2 linked regions of the Arabidopsis thaliana genome follow. The main gene of each other region encodes a partner of the protein of the gene in region 2 in a complex. Each region holds a gene or a part of one and is shown on either strand. Other genes may lie near its edges.

What was found.
Region 1: CDC48 (region 2) and GRF6 share a complex: the UniProt entries of both Arabidopsis thaliana proteins name them as parts of the SERK1 signaling complex.

The regions. Positions count from the first base shown.
Region 1 is NC_003076.8:3,283,056-3,288,080, forward strand, and holds GRF6 (G-box regulating factor 6), read right to left. Parts: upstream 3,293-5,025; 5' UTR 3,207-3,292; coding exon 2,721-3,206; intron 2,456-2,720; coding exon 2,333-2,455; intron 1,728-2,332; coding exon 1,611-1,727; coding exon of another isoform or gene 1,560-1,610; exon of another isoform or gene 1,517-1,559; coding exon 1,421-1,516; 3' UTR 1,418-1,420; coding exon of another isoform or gene 1,397-1,417; 3' UTR 798-1,396; downstream 1-797. Other genes in the region: AT5G10460 (Haloacid dehalogenase-like hydrolase (HAD) superfamily protein), read left to right, coding at 4,767-4,838. UniProt on the Arabidopsis thaliana protein: Is associated with a DNA binding complex that binds to the G box, a well-characterized cis-acting DNA regulatory element found in plant genes. Specific negative regulator of slow-vacuolar (SV) ion channel.
Region 2 is NC_003074.8:3,017,309-3,023,833, reverse strand, and holds CDC48 (cell division cycle 48), read right to left. Parts: upstream 4,586-6,525; 5' UTR 4,341-4,585; coding exon 4,312-4,340; intron 4,163-4,311; coding exon 4,000-4,162; intron 3,711-3,999; coding exon 3,482-3,710; intron 3,356-3,481; coding exon 2,589-3,355; intron 2,505-2,588; coding exon 2,283-2,504; intron 2,194-2,282; coding exon 2,122-2,193; intron 2,039-2,121; coding exon 1,394-2,038; intron 1,305-1,393; coding exon 1,002-1,304; 3' UTR 782-1,001; downstream 1-781. Other genes in the region: AT3G09850 (D111/G-patch domain-containing protein), read left to right, coding at 1-437; AT3G09830 (Protein kinase superfamily protein), read right to left, coding at 5,138-5,632, 5,713-5,835, 5,910-6,170, 6,258-6,525. UniProt on the Arabidopsis thaliana protein: Probably functions in cell division and growth processes. Interacts with certain SNAREs as part of specialized membrane fusion events where vesicles from the same organelle fuse (homotypic fusion).

The sequences.
Region 1 (5,025 bases), on a different chromosome or scaffold from region 2:
CTAGTTATTTTATGAATATATAAATATGAATACGAAAGACATTTTATGTAATTTTTGGTATATTAGTTAGAATATATTTGTATATTAGTTAGAATATATTCATATTATTTTATATTTTAATACAAAATTATCATGGAAACGCACATCAAATTATGAACAGAAAATATTACATTAGATAGTAAATTGCATTAAAATATTTTTCAGTGACAAAATGGAAACGAATTAGGAATTTGAAGTAGAGGCCAAGTCAATGAATATCTAGTCATTATATTAGTGTTGTTAGTTAGAAGCTAATATTGTTGCTGGTGAGGTGAGAAGTGTGAATATCGTTTGCACCAAACATATTCGTGGACTACAATATAATTAGCTTGAGAACACCGAATTTTCAGAACCCCCTGCATAAGCATAAGATCATGTGATTGTCATATGCAATCATTAGATAACTAACATGAGGAGACTCATCTCAAGTCTTTTTGGCTATCGAAAATCATTTGCTACATAATAGTTAAAAGGAGAGCACACATATTGTGATCCATTCATCTATTTGCATTTAGACTGAAAAGGAAAACTCTTAACAAAAGAACTGAAAACCAAAAAGTTCAAAGAAAAGAAACCCGTAAAAATAATACCACTACTTAAGAAAATCCAAATACAATTAAACTTCAAGAATAAACATCTTTAAAATCATATAAAGCTTTTAACATGACAAGCTTTATATAAATAATGAACGTGGACTGGAATCACGTGTGAGCGAGCAACTTTGGTTTTTACAGTATCTTTCTCTGAAAAGATTGGTGGAAGAAAAAGAAAAGTTGGAGTAATGTATGAGAAAACAACTAAATGTCTCAGAATTCGACCAAAGACTGTTATTTTTATAAATAGTTTTCATGCATGCAATGCAGACAAAGTGGTCCAAGTACACTTTTGATATTTTGCATCTCTTTGCGTAATGAGAGATTCGACTTCTTTGATACGTGTGTGCTTCTCTATGGTCGCATTCTTCCACAGCCTATGTTGCACAGATTTTCTTGGTTTGACTGGATTTTATATACGTAACAACATTGACGATTTTTATTATTCACAGTTTCACACCGACAAAAAATCCACGAATTTTGGGTTCCAACTTGATTTTGACGATACAGTAGAAGGATCATAATTTAACCAGAGGAGCCTTAAGGAGAAAGATGTTTTTAAGGCTTGAGCAGAGTCGAGACAATAAATATTAAGAGCACAGAGGTTTAGTAGAGTAGATAAATCATCAAGCTGTGCACAATCATAATCATCATAAACACTTCAATCTTTTTTCACAGTTTTTGAGCAAAGGTTATGGGGATTTTGAGATCGATTTGGTGGCAGAAACATCGCGTAACAACCCTCCCCCCCTTCATCTAGATCCTCAGGCCTCGTCCATCTGCTCCTGTTACATAGAGTAGTAATAACTCAGCACACACGGTTTTGCGGTTATTTCAGTTTTAACATGTTCTTTGATGTCTCTTATATGATGCATCTGATTGGTCTATGATGGAAACACTAATCACACTAAGATATGATCTTTATAGTTATTCGAATGGTGTAGAATATCGAGGTACGGCATAAAGAGATGTGAATACCTGCATATCGGAGGTCCAAAGGGTTAAATTGTCCCTCAGCAACTGCATTATGAGAGTGCTGTCTTTGTAGGATTCCTCTCCCAGAGTGTCAAGCTCAGCTATGGCCTCCTCAAAAGCCTACAATTAAAAATCCAGTATCAAAATTGAGAATGCCCCCACAGTGAAAAATTTCTGCCGTTTTACTAAATGTCTTATACGTAAGTTCTAGTTGAAACAGAATGAGACATCAGTCCTAGTATTGGACAACATGGATCTTCATCATCATATTAGTCTGTGATTATTAAAAAAGAGGAATTTTGTTAAAAAAGCTGACTCAAAGTGATACTAGATGAAGCACCATGAATCAAAGAGTGGTTCTTTATCTAACAAAACATACTCAGGAGATAAAGGTACAACAGAAATAGTCAACAAGTGGTCAATCCTCTTAGTCAAAACATCAAGCAAGCTCATTCAAAGTGATAAGAAATGATGATACACAGAGGGCCAAAGATTGGTTCTTTACCCAACAATACATCTTAAGAAAAGAAAAAAGTACAACAAGACTAGTCAACAAGTGGTCAATTCTCTTTTGTAATAACATAAAGCAAGAAACAGAAGCAAACTCTCAAGAGACAAACTCAGGTCAACGACTTATATGTTTGTTACCAGAGAGGCAACGGAAAGAGAGAGAAAGAGATGTTCCTAATTGAGGCAAGCAGCGAAAAAGAAAGAAGAAGAGTAACCTGTTTGGCCATGTTACAAGCTTTGTCTGAAGAATTGAGAATCTCATAGTAGAACACTGAGAAATTCAGGGCCAGACCAAGCCTTATCGGATGAGTAGGTGCCATATCCGCAGCTGCGATATCCTTCAAAAAACATCACATCGAAAAATAGACAAAAACATCTCCATCAGTTTGAAGAAAGCAATTTTTACTCTTTAAGACAAAAACTGAAACAAAACAGCAATCTACTTTCTCATGATTTGATAAGCATAGTAGCTCAATTAGAGACCAATTCTAGATCAGGACATAATTACTAGATTTGGAAGCTATTACCAATAGAAGAAATCTCGTAAACAGAGTTCACAAACAAAACTTATCAGCCAAATCAGATTTGGAGAATGAAAATAACCTGAGCTGCTTTGTAAGCGAGCATGGTATCTTCAGCAGCAGTTTTCCTCTCATCACCAGACTTAAACTCAGCCATGTACCGATGATAATCACCTTTCATCTTCAAGTAAAAGACCTTAGACTCACTCGCTCCAGCAGATGGGATCAGATGCGAGTCAAGGAGCTTAAGGATTCCAGAGCAAACAGAAGAAAGCTCAGACTCAACTTTAGATCTGTAATCCTTGACAAGCGACACGTGCTCGTCGTTCTTCCTACTCTCTTCCTTCTGCTCAATCGAAGACACGATCCTCCAGGCGGCGCGTAGAGATCCGATCACGTTTTTGTAAGCAACAGAGAGGAGATTCCTCTCTTCAACGGTGAGCTCTTCCGCTGGAGTAGCGCCTGTAACGAGCTGTTCCATGAATTGAACCATCTCTTCGTAACGCTCCGCCTGCTCGGCGAGCTTCGCCATGTACACATACTGGTCTCTGCCTAATGTCGCCGCCATTAGAGAGAGAAAGAGAGAGATTTGATTTTTTTTTGTTTAATGGGGAAAATTTGAAGAAAATGGGAAAGAGAAAGAGAGAAGAAGAATAAAGGGCAAAGAGTCAGGTGGGCTATTAAAAATAGATGTATATTAAACCCACGCGCAAGTGTGTTCACTTTCGATTATACGACGGCGTTTGATGTTATAGTCTTTCGTAGAGTGAGGAGCGTGGTTTGTGTTGGCGAGTGGGATGGTTGGGAGGGTTTGGGGTTTGTGATAAGAGCGAGTGAATGGACGATAATAGTTTTTTAGTGAGTCAGCTTCTAGTCACTAGTTTTAAAGTCAGAACTCTGATTGGGCCTTTATTAGGCCTAATATGGGCCTTATGAATTCCAATACTTATGAAGTTTGTAATACACACCTTTTTTTTTGTTGTTGCATAAAATGCGAAAACTTTTTCTTAAAGAGAAATAAAGTACATAATTTAAAAGACTAAAGTATATATTCTTTTAATATTAAAGTATATTAACCAAAATGGAAATCAATAGTTAGTAGTAGTGTCGTCTGCAAAGGAAAAAAGTGAAAAATAAAAAGACAAAGTCCGAGAAAGGAGACTTTTTAATACGTTCATGTGGTCAACCGTCACCGTGAGTCCAGAAGGAATTTTTTTTTGCATCGACGGATGGGAACAAGCTCCGTCTCTCGGCCGTTATGTTTTCTTTCGGCCTTTACTTTGGACTTTCACAACTCATTTTTCTTTTTCTTTTTCTCTTTCACAACTCTTTATCACTGCAAAAAACAATAAGGATATGCCTTTTTGATTCTTATCTTGTTATTGTTATATGATGATTTACAGGTTTTAGATGAGATATTTGTGACTCGAATGCAAAGCTTAATCGGGAATTCGTTAAAGGACGAAAATTTGGAGGCACCAAGATTGATAATGGAGCTTCGGTCTATGCTTTTGTAAACGCTATATGGAAAACTGCATACTGTACTACTTGGAGAAGAAGAGAGAAAAAATATGTTGATAGAAACCATACTTTGAACATTCAGCTATAAGAGTTGGGCATGGTGTAGTTAGATTAGTGATGACTCATATGTTCATTTTGGTTCTATTGTTAATAAAATGTATATATATATATATATAAACTCAGCGATCGTTTCAAGTTTCTATAAATCTGATATACAAATTCATCACTGTTGCCACCAAAATAAGAATGAAAGAGAGAAGGGGCGCTTTGGTCAACTGAGCGGTTGTTTGTTTAAAGGGCGGGAAATTGTTTTGAAAGACAAAATATTAAAAAAATATCGTCGCCTGAGAGATTCGAACTCTCGCGGGGAAACCCCATGTACTTAGCAGGCACACGCCTTAACCACTCGGCCAAAGCGACTATGTTGTTTGCTGAAGGATTAGCTACTATATAATGTTGTTTTACATAAGTAAAGCGTGGAGCTTACTCGCGTATGTTGCGCGTACGTATGCGTTGTGCTTGTGGTAAAGTGAAAAACACTTTGTGGTTTGTTTTTCGATTGGTCCAGTTCTCTTCAGTTCTTCTTCTTCTCGTCACAGGAAGAAAAATGTTCTGTTCCTCGCAGCTCTCACAGCCAATGAATGGCCTCAAAGACATAGTTGAGACGAGAAATTTTAAGGTTTGACCTTCAATTTACTGTCTTCTTATGTGCTCTCTGACTTTCTCCTCCTCTTATGACGAGCGAAGCCATTAACATATCTATGTTAGTCTGATGATCCGATTGTCTACAAAATCATCATGTTTTCGATTCACTTCATCTTGTTAACTAATGGGCTTCACGTATTGTATAATATTAGCCTTGTAAT
Region 2 (6,525 bases):
GTTTTGGATCCAAAATGATGGCTAAAATGGGATTCATAGATGGAGGTGGTCTAGGAAAGGATGGTAAGGGGATAGCACAGCCAATAGAAGCTGTTCAGCGTCCGAAATCACTTGGGTTAGGTCTGGATTTCTCCATTGACACTGAAGACCCGAGTCCGTCAAGTAATAACAATAACAACGCTAAACGGAACAGATCTTCGTCCTCCGGGAAACATGGGAAACGCATCACCCATGACAATGGTGCCTCTGGTTCAGGAAGAATCAGGGACAAAAGATTGGGAGCCTTTGAGCAGCACACAACAGGCTTTGGGTCGAGGATGATGGCGAGAATGGGTTTCGTCGAAGGCTCGGGTCTGGGTAGAGAGTCACAAGGCATAGTCAATCCGCTGGTCGCTGTCAGACGTCCTAGAGCACGTGGAATAGGTGCTGAAGGCTAAACATTGAAGTATTTAACGGTCAATGTTTGAACAAGAACAGTAAGATATCGTTTTTAAGTATGTTCATCTTCAATCTTCAACATGTGGCCTTTGTTCAATTTATGTTTAAGACTTGGGAGCAGCTTTGTTGTTATCTTGACATCAATGTTGTTGACATAATAAAGCATCCTTTCTTTTGGCTTCTTTAACCACCATTGATGCAAAAAAAAATACATCCTCGGCTCCAAGATTCTATAAAAGAAAGTACCGATCTTAGAGCATTAACATTGATATGCGGAAATTGCTGATAAGTGGGAACATTTGTGATACTTACCACTTATAAAGCAATTACTTATCACTTGCAATCTTTTTAACTTACTTTATAATCCTTTATTTTTTCCATTTGTAATGAACGACCAAACAAGTATTGAAACGAAAATTAAGAACATTGATTAAAACCCAAACACAAGAGATTCGGATAACTTAAAAACACGAGGAAAGAATCAGTATCACTTTCCCCAGTAATCCAAAAGTAGAGAATTCGAGTTTTAAAACTTAAAAAAAAAAAGGATAAAGAAGTTATCACTAATTGTAGAGATCATCATCGTCCCCAGCAGCGGCTGCAGACGTGGCAAACGGATCTGCGACTCCAGTGGTGGCACCTGAACCAGCAGAATTCTCGAACCTGAACTCAGAACCGAACCCTCTAGACTGCTGCAACGTCTGAGCAAAGGCTTGGTACTTCCTGATGTCTGCATCACTCACACTCCTACGCGCATACTTCATCGACTCCTCAAAGTGTGCAGCTTTGATCTCTGATACTTCATCCACTCCATCTTCCTCCATTGCCTCTGGGTTCTCGCTCCTCCTCTTCTCCTTTTCAATGTCCTGAAACAAAAAAAAAACATGAGCTTCAGTTCAACGATTGGAGAGTATAACAATCTTTGGATAAAGAGCTTGGCGATGGGATCTCTAACCTTCTCAATGTTTTCTCTGATGGCGTACTTGCAAGCTCTCTGGCAAATCTCAGTGATATCAGCACCACTGAAACCCTGAGTGTATTTAGCAAGTGCACCGATGTCTACATCTTTAGCAATAGGAGATTTCCTCAAGGCGGCCTTGAAGATATTGAGACGGGAATCCTCATCTGGTAGTGGAATGTAAATGAGCTGGTCAAGCCTTCCAGGACGGAGAAGAGCTGAATCGATAATGTCAGGTCTGTTGGTAGCTCCGATGATGAAGACGGTTTTCTTGGCATTCATTCCGTCCATCTCAGTCAAAAGCTGGTTCAAGACTCTGTCCGCAGCACCACCTCCATCGCCACCACTTCCACCTCCTCTCTGAGTTGCAATGGAGTCGAGCTCATCAAAGAAAAGAACACATGGAGCGGATTGACGGGCCTTGTCGAAGATTTCACGAACATTTGCTTCACTCTCTCCAAACCACATTGTCAGAAGCTCGGGACCCTTGACACTGATGAAATTAGCTTGGCACTCGTTGGCAATAGCTTTGGCCAAAAGGGTTTTCCCACATCCAGGAGGACCGTAGAAAAGGACTCCCTTTGATGGAGACATCCCGAATTTCTCAAACTTCTCTGGGTGCTCGACTGGGTATTGAACAGTCTGCATTTGAACAATCACACGGCTCAGGTTACAAATTACAATTAATAGACAGACCCAAGCAAAAGTAAATATTAGCAATTTACCTCCTGGAGCTCTCTCTTGACATTCTCAAGACCTCCAATATCATTCCAAGAGACGTTGGGAACCTCCACAACCTGCAAAGCAAAGAAGAAAATTTGGAATGAGATTTACGCAAAGATACAATCTTTGATCTCGTTCTAAGCAGAGTACTGTCAATACTCACAGTTTCACGAAGTGCAGATGGGTTGCTGTTCCCGAGAGCAGTGTGGAAATGTTCATTAGTGACTGCCATGGAATTGAGGATTTCAGCGTCTATGGAGTCATCTTCCAGATCAATCACATCCATCTTCTCCCTGATGCATTGCAGGGCGGCCTCTGTGCACAAAGCTGCAAGATCAGCACCGACGTAACCGTGTGTGTCCTTTGAGATCCTTTCGAGATCCACCTGGAAAACAACCACAAGAAGAATTTAGCATTCAATAAACATTACACTCAACAAACACAGAAAAAGCTATGACTAGAAAATTACATCTTCAGCCAGCTTCATGTTCTTTGTATGGATCCTCAGAACTTCAAGACGTCCAATTTCGTCAGGAACTCCAATATCGATCTCCCTGTCAAATCTTCCAAACCTTCTCAAAGCTGGGTCGATACTGTTGGGGCGATTGGTTGCTCCCATGACGATAACATGAGCACGAGATTTCAGTCCATCCATTAGCGTAAGGAGCTGAGAGACAATCCTCCTCTCAACCTCTCCATTAGTCTTCTCTCTTTTCGGTGCAATAGAGTCGATCTCATCAATGAATATGATTGAAGGCGCATTTTTCTCAGCCTCCTCGAATGCTTTCCTGAGGTTGCTCTCACTCTCACCAGCCAATTTGGACATGATCTCAGGTCCGTTGATACAGAAGAAAAAGGCACCCGTTTCATTAGCCACAGCACGAGCGATCAAAGTCTTTCCAGACCCAGGTGGTCCATAAAGAAGAATTCCCTTCGGTGGCTTAACACCAATCGACTTGAATAGCTGTGGATGCCTCAAGGGAAGTTCAACAAGTTCCCTAATCTGAGCCATCTGTTTCCTGACACCACCAACATCATCATAACCTACATCATCTAGCCTTTCTTCATCCTCTCTCTTCACAGGCTCACCCTCACAGAAAATCTCTGTGTCTGGAGCAACCACGCAGTACTCAGCAGGATCTGTCTCTATAACTTTGAACTCCACACTCCTCATTCCTCCTCTGACTAGGAAGAGATCACCCTTCCTCACTGGACGGTATGCCTCAAGGAAATAAGCTGTTGAAAAGAATTCAATCTTTGTTAAGAAATCACTCTAATAATATCTCAAACCAAACAAGAACATCCAAAGAAAAATCAAAATTGCATAACTGGATAAGGATCTAAAACAAAAAGGCAACTTACGTTTCAGGTAAGCATCAAATAGGTTTCCAGTCACTCCTTCAACAGTATCATCAACAGGCAGGATGTGAACACGCTTTCCGTACTTGACGTCTGGGCATTGGTGAACAGATATAACATCTCCCAGTCTAACCCTCAAGTTAGATCTGACTACTTTATTCATTCTGATCTTTGGCTCCTCACATGTCTCATCAGCAAGAGCAATGCAGACAGTGTCCTTCCTCTTCTTACCCTGAAAGCCAAAATCCAAACCAAATAAGAACTCATAAAGACTACTAATACGAATCATTCACCAAGACAGGATCAGTACAAAAGCAAGTCTTTTTATTTTGTATAATACCTAAGATCATAAATCACTTGTTTCAAAAGACCACAAACCCTAGTTTATGTAGAACCACATAAGAATCCATTAATCAAGCAAGGAGAAAAAACCCTAAATTATGTCTCTTCATAGAGACAGAAACCAACCATTCAATATCTCAATCAAAAGAGAATCCAAACAAACAAAAGCAAACCCAAACCTTGATGAGAATGGTATCACCACGGAAGAGCTGAAGCTTCTCCATGGTTGCAGGGTGAAGAGAGACGACGGAGTTATCATCGTTGATAGCCTCATCGACGACGAGACGGTTCGGAGACTTCTTCCTCTCGAGAATAGCAGTACTGAAATCTTTCTTCGATTTCCTGTAACAACAACAAAGAAGATTAAGATTCAACTATAGAAACACAAGATCAACCAAAACCCTAATCCCCAAAATCGAAAAACCCAGACTTTAAGAAGATCCGAAAAAAATCCCGATCGGAAAACCAAAATCAGAGATCTGGGTACTTACGAGTCTGAAGATTCAGCTGGGGTAGACATGATTGAGTTTGAGATTAACGAAAGAGTTCCCTGAGAAATCGAAGAAAGTTGAGAGCTTTTTCTTCTTCTTTGGTTTCTTCTCTGAGAGAGAGAGAGAGATGGATTTGTGATAATGGGATCTGAAAGAGCACAGATTTTCTCTAATTATATCTCTCTACGTTTCTTGTTGGAAAAGAGAGCTCTTTTTTTTTCCTTTATTCTTATTTTCCTTTTTGTTTCTTATCTTCTAGTAATATCAAACCGACCCCTATTGTTTTACTTTTCCCAAATATTCACCCTATTTATGTTATGTGATTAGAATTCTAGAAACTTCTTTTTCGTTCAATTTTTTCCTCCATTCCACAAGCAATATCAATTTCCTACCTATCGACTAATATTCTTTTTCCAACTACTTCTCCCAAATTTCAGTAGTCCTCCAGACCTTAAAGCCCATAATTATTTTCATTTTATTTATGTTTGTGATTTACTTATGGTAATTAATAGGAACTCTTAACACATTACCACAAATATACACTTAAGCACGAGTAGATTGATCAGCTTTGGAACAAAACTCTGATAAGCCGTTCTTGCTTAATATACATATCTTACTAATTTAGCTGTGGTTACTATTCATAAGTTCATACAAAAATCATATTTCATCATTTTAGAATCTTTCACAAATCTTCATATATAATTATCTTTATGTATGTATATGAGCTTCATCTTGATCTCGCTAGAATCTTCAACCTTCGGAATCTCCATGAAACCTTTCTTGACTCTTTTTTTTGCTGTAAGAAGAGGTTGAATTCTATAAGCAGTCAACAAGCTCTTATTGTCTTTGGATTCCATAACTTGCCAAACCAACCTCCTTCACCGCCACCACCATTGTTCTTTCCTCTCGCGTCTCTCGAAGCTTTTACACTGTTCAGCGGAACTAGCTGTGGGCTGCCATTTCCTGAAGAAGCTTCCACAATTTTGTTCACCATCTCTAAAACCTCACTCATCTTGGGACGTGCCTTTGAGTTCCTAACCAAACATCTGTTGGCCACAACTGCTAGCTTTTGAACCGATTTGATCGGGTACTTCCCTTCCAGCCTTGGATCTAATATGAGCTTGAACTTCCTTGTGTCAGATAAATAAGGTCTCACCCATTCTAGAAGCTTCTGCTCTCCCTTGGGTCTGTTTCTGTCCACCGGTCGCCTCCCAGTGATAAGCTCATAGAGGAAGACTCCATAACCCCACACATCGCTTTTCGATGTGAGACGGCCGGTTTGAATGTATTCAGGTGCTGCATAACCCATTGTACCTACAACCTAATAAAGCCAAAGAAACCCGTTCAAAAACATACCTGTTTTTCAATCTTGCAACCAAAAGAAGTGAATGCAGAACTTACATCAGTAGAAACATGGGTTAATCCTTCAGATGGACCTAAACGAGCCAAACCGAAATCTGAGAGCTTTGCTTTCCAGTCCTCATCCAAAAGAATGTTCGAGGACTTGAAATCGCGGAATATTATCTGAAAAGCCAATAAATAAAAGTTAGTCAAGAGAGTGAAATGAGATCAGTAACGTAGCAGAGTCATCATATTACCTGAAACTCCATTTCTTCATGCAGGTATGTTAATCCGCGAGCTGCATCTTGGGCGATTCTCAGTCTGAGGTCCCAAGTAAGAACTGTGAGTGACCGAGGGGATAAGTGGAATTCAACACTTCGGTTAGGCATGTATTCATAAACCAAAAGCCGTTGGATTCCACGTTCATCATCTTCTGCACAATAGCCAAGCAATTTCACCAAGTTTGTATGCTCAACTATTCCGAGGAAGTTCACTTCCGTAACCCATTCCTTATGCCCCTGCAACATCCAAGAAATGAGATAATAGTGTTAAACCAGTGGATGAGTAACAGATCTTGAGAACAAGATTGGAAAAAACAGACATACCTGCAACCCTCTTTTACCGAGCTGCTTCACTGCGACTTCGATTTTAACTGACGAGTCCTCTAAGTTCCTCACTGTGCCCCTGAAGACACAACCGAAACCGCCTTCTCCAATCATAACAGATCGGCTAAAGTTCTTTGTTGCAGACTTGAGATCAGTAATGCTGAACTCTCTGAGATTACTTGCTCTAGTAGACACCGGAGGGTACGAGTTCTTCCTCCCCATGGATGATTCTGTGCTCGTCCCAGAGACATCACGAGAGTTGAACTCT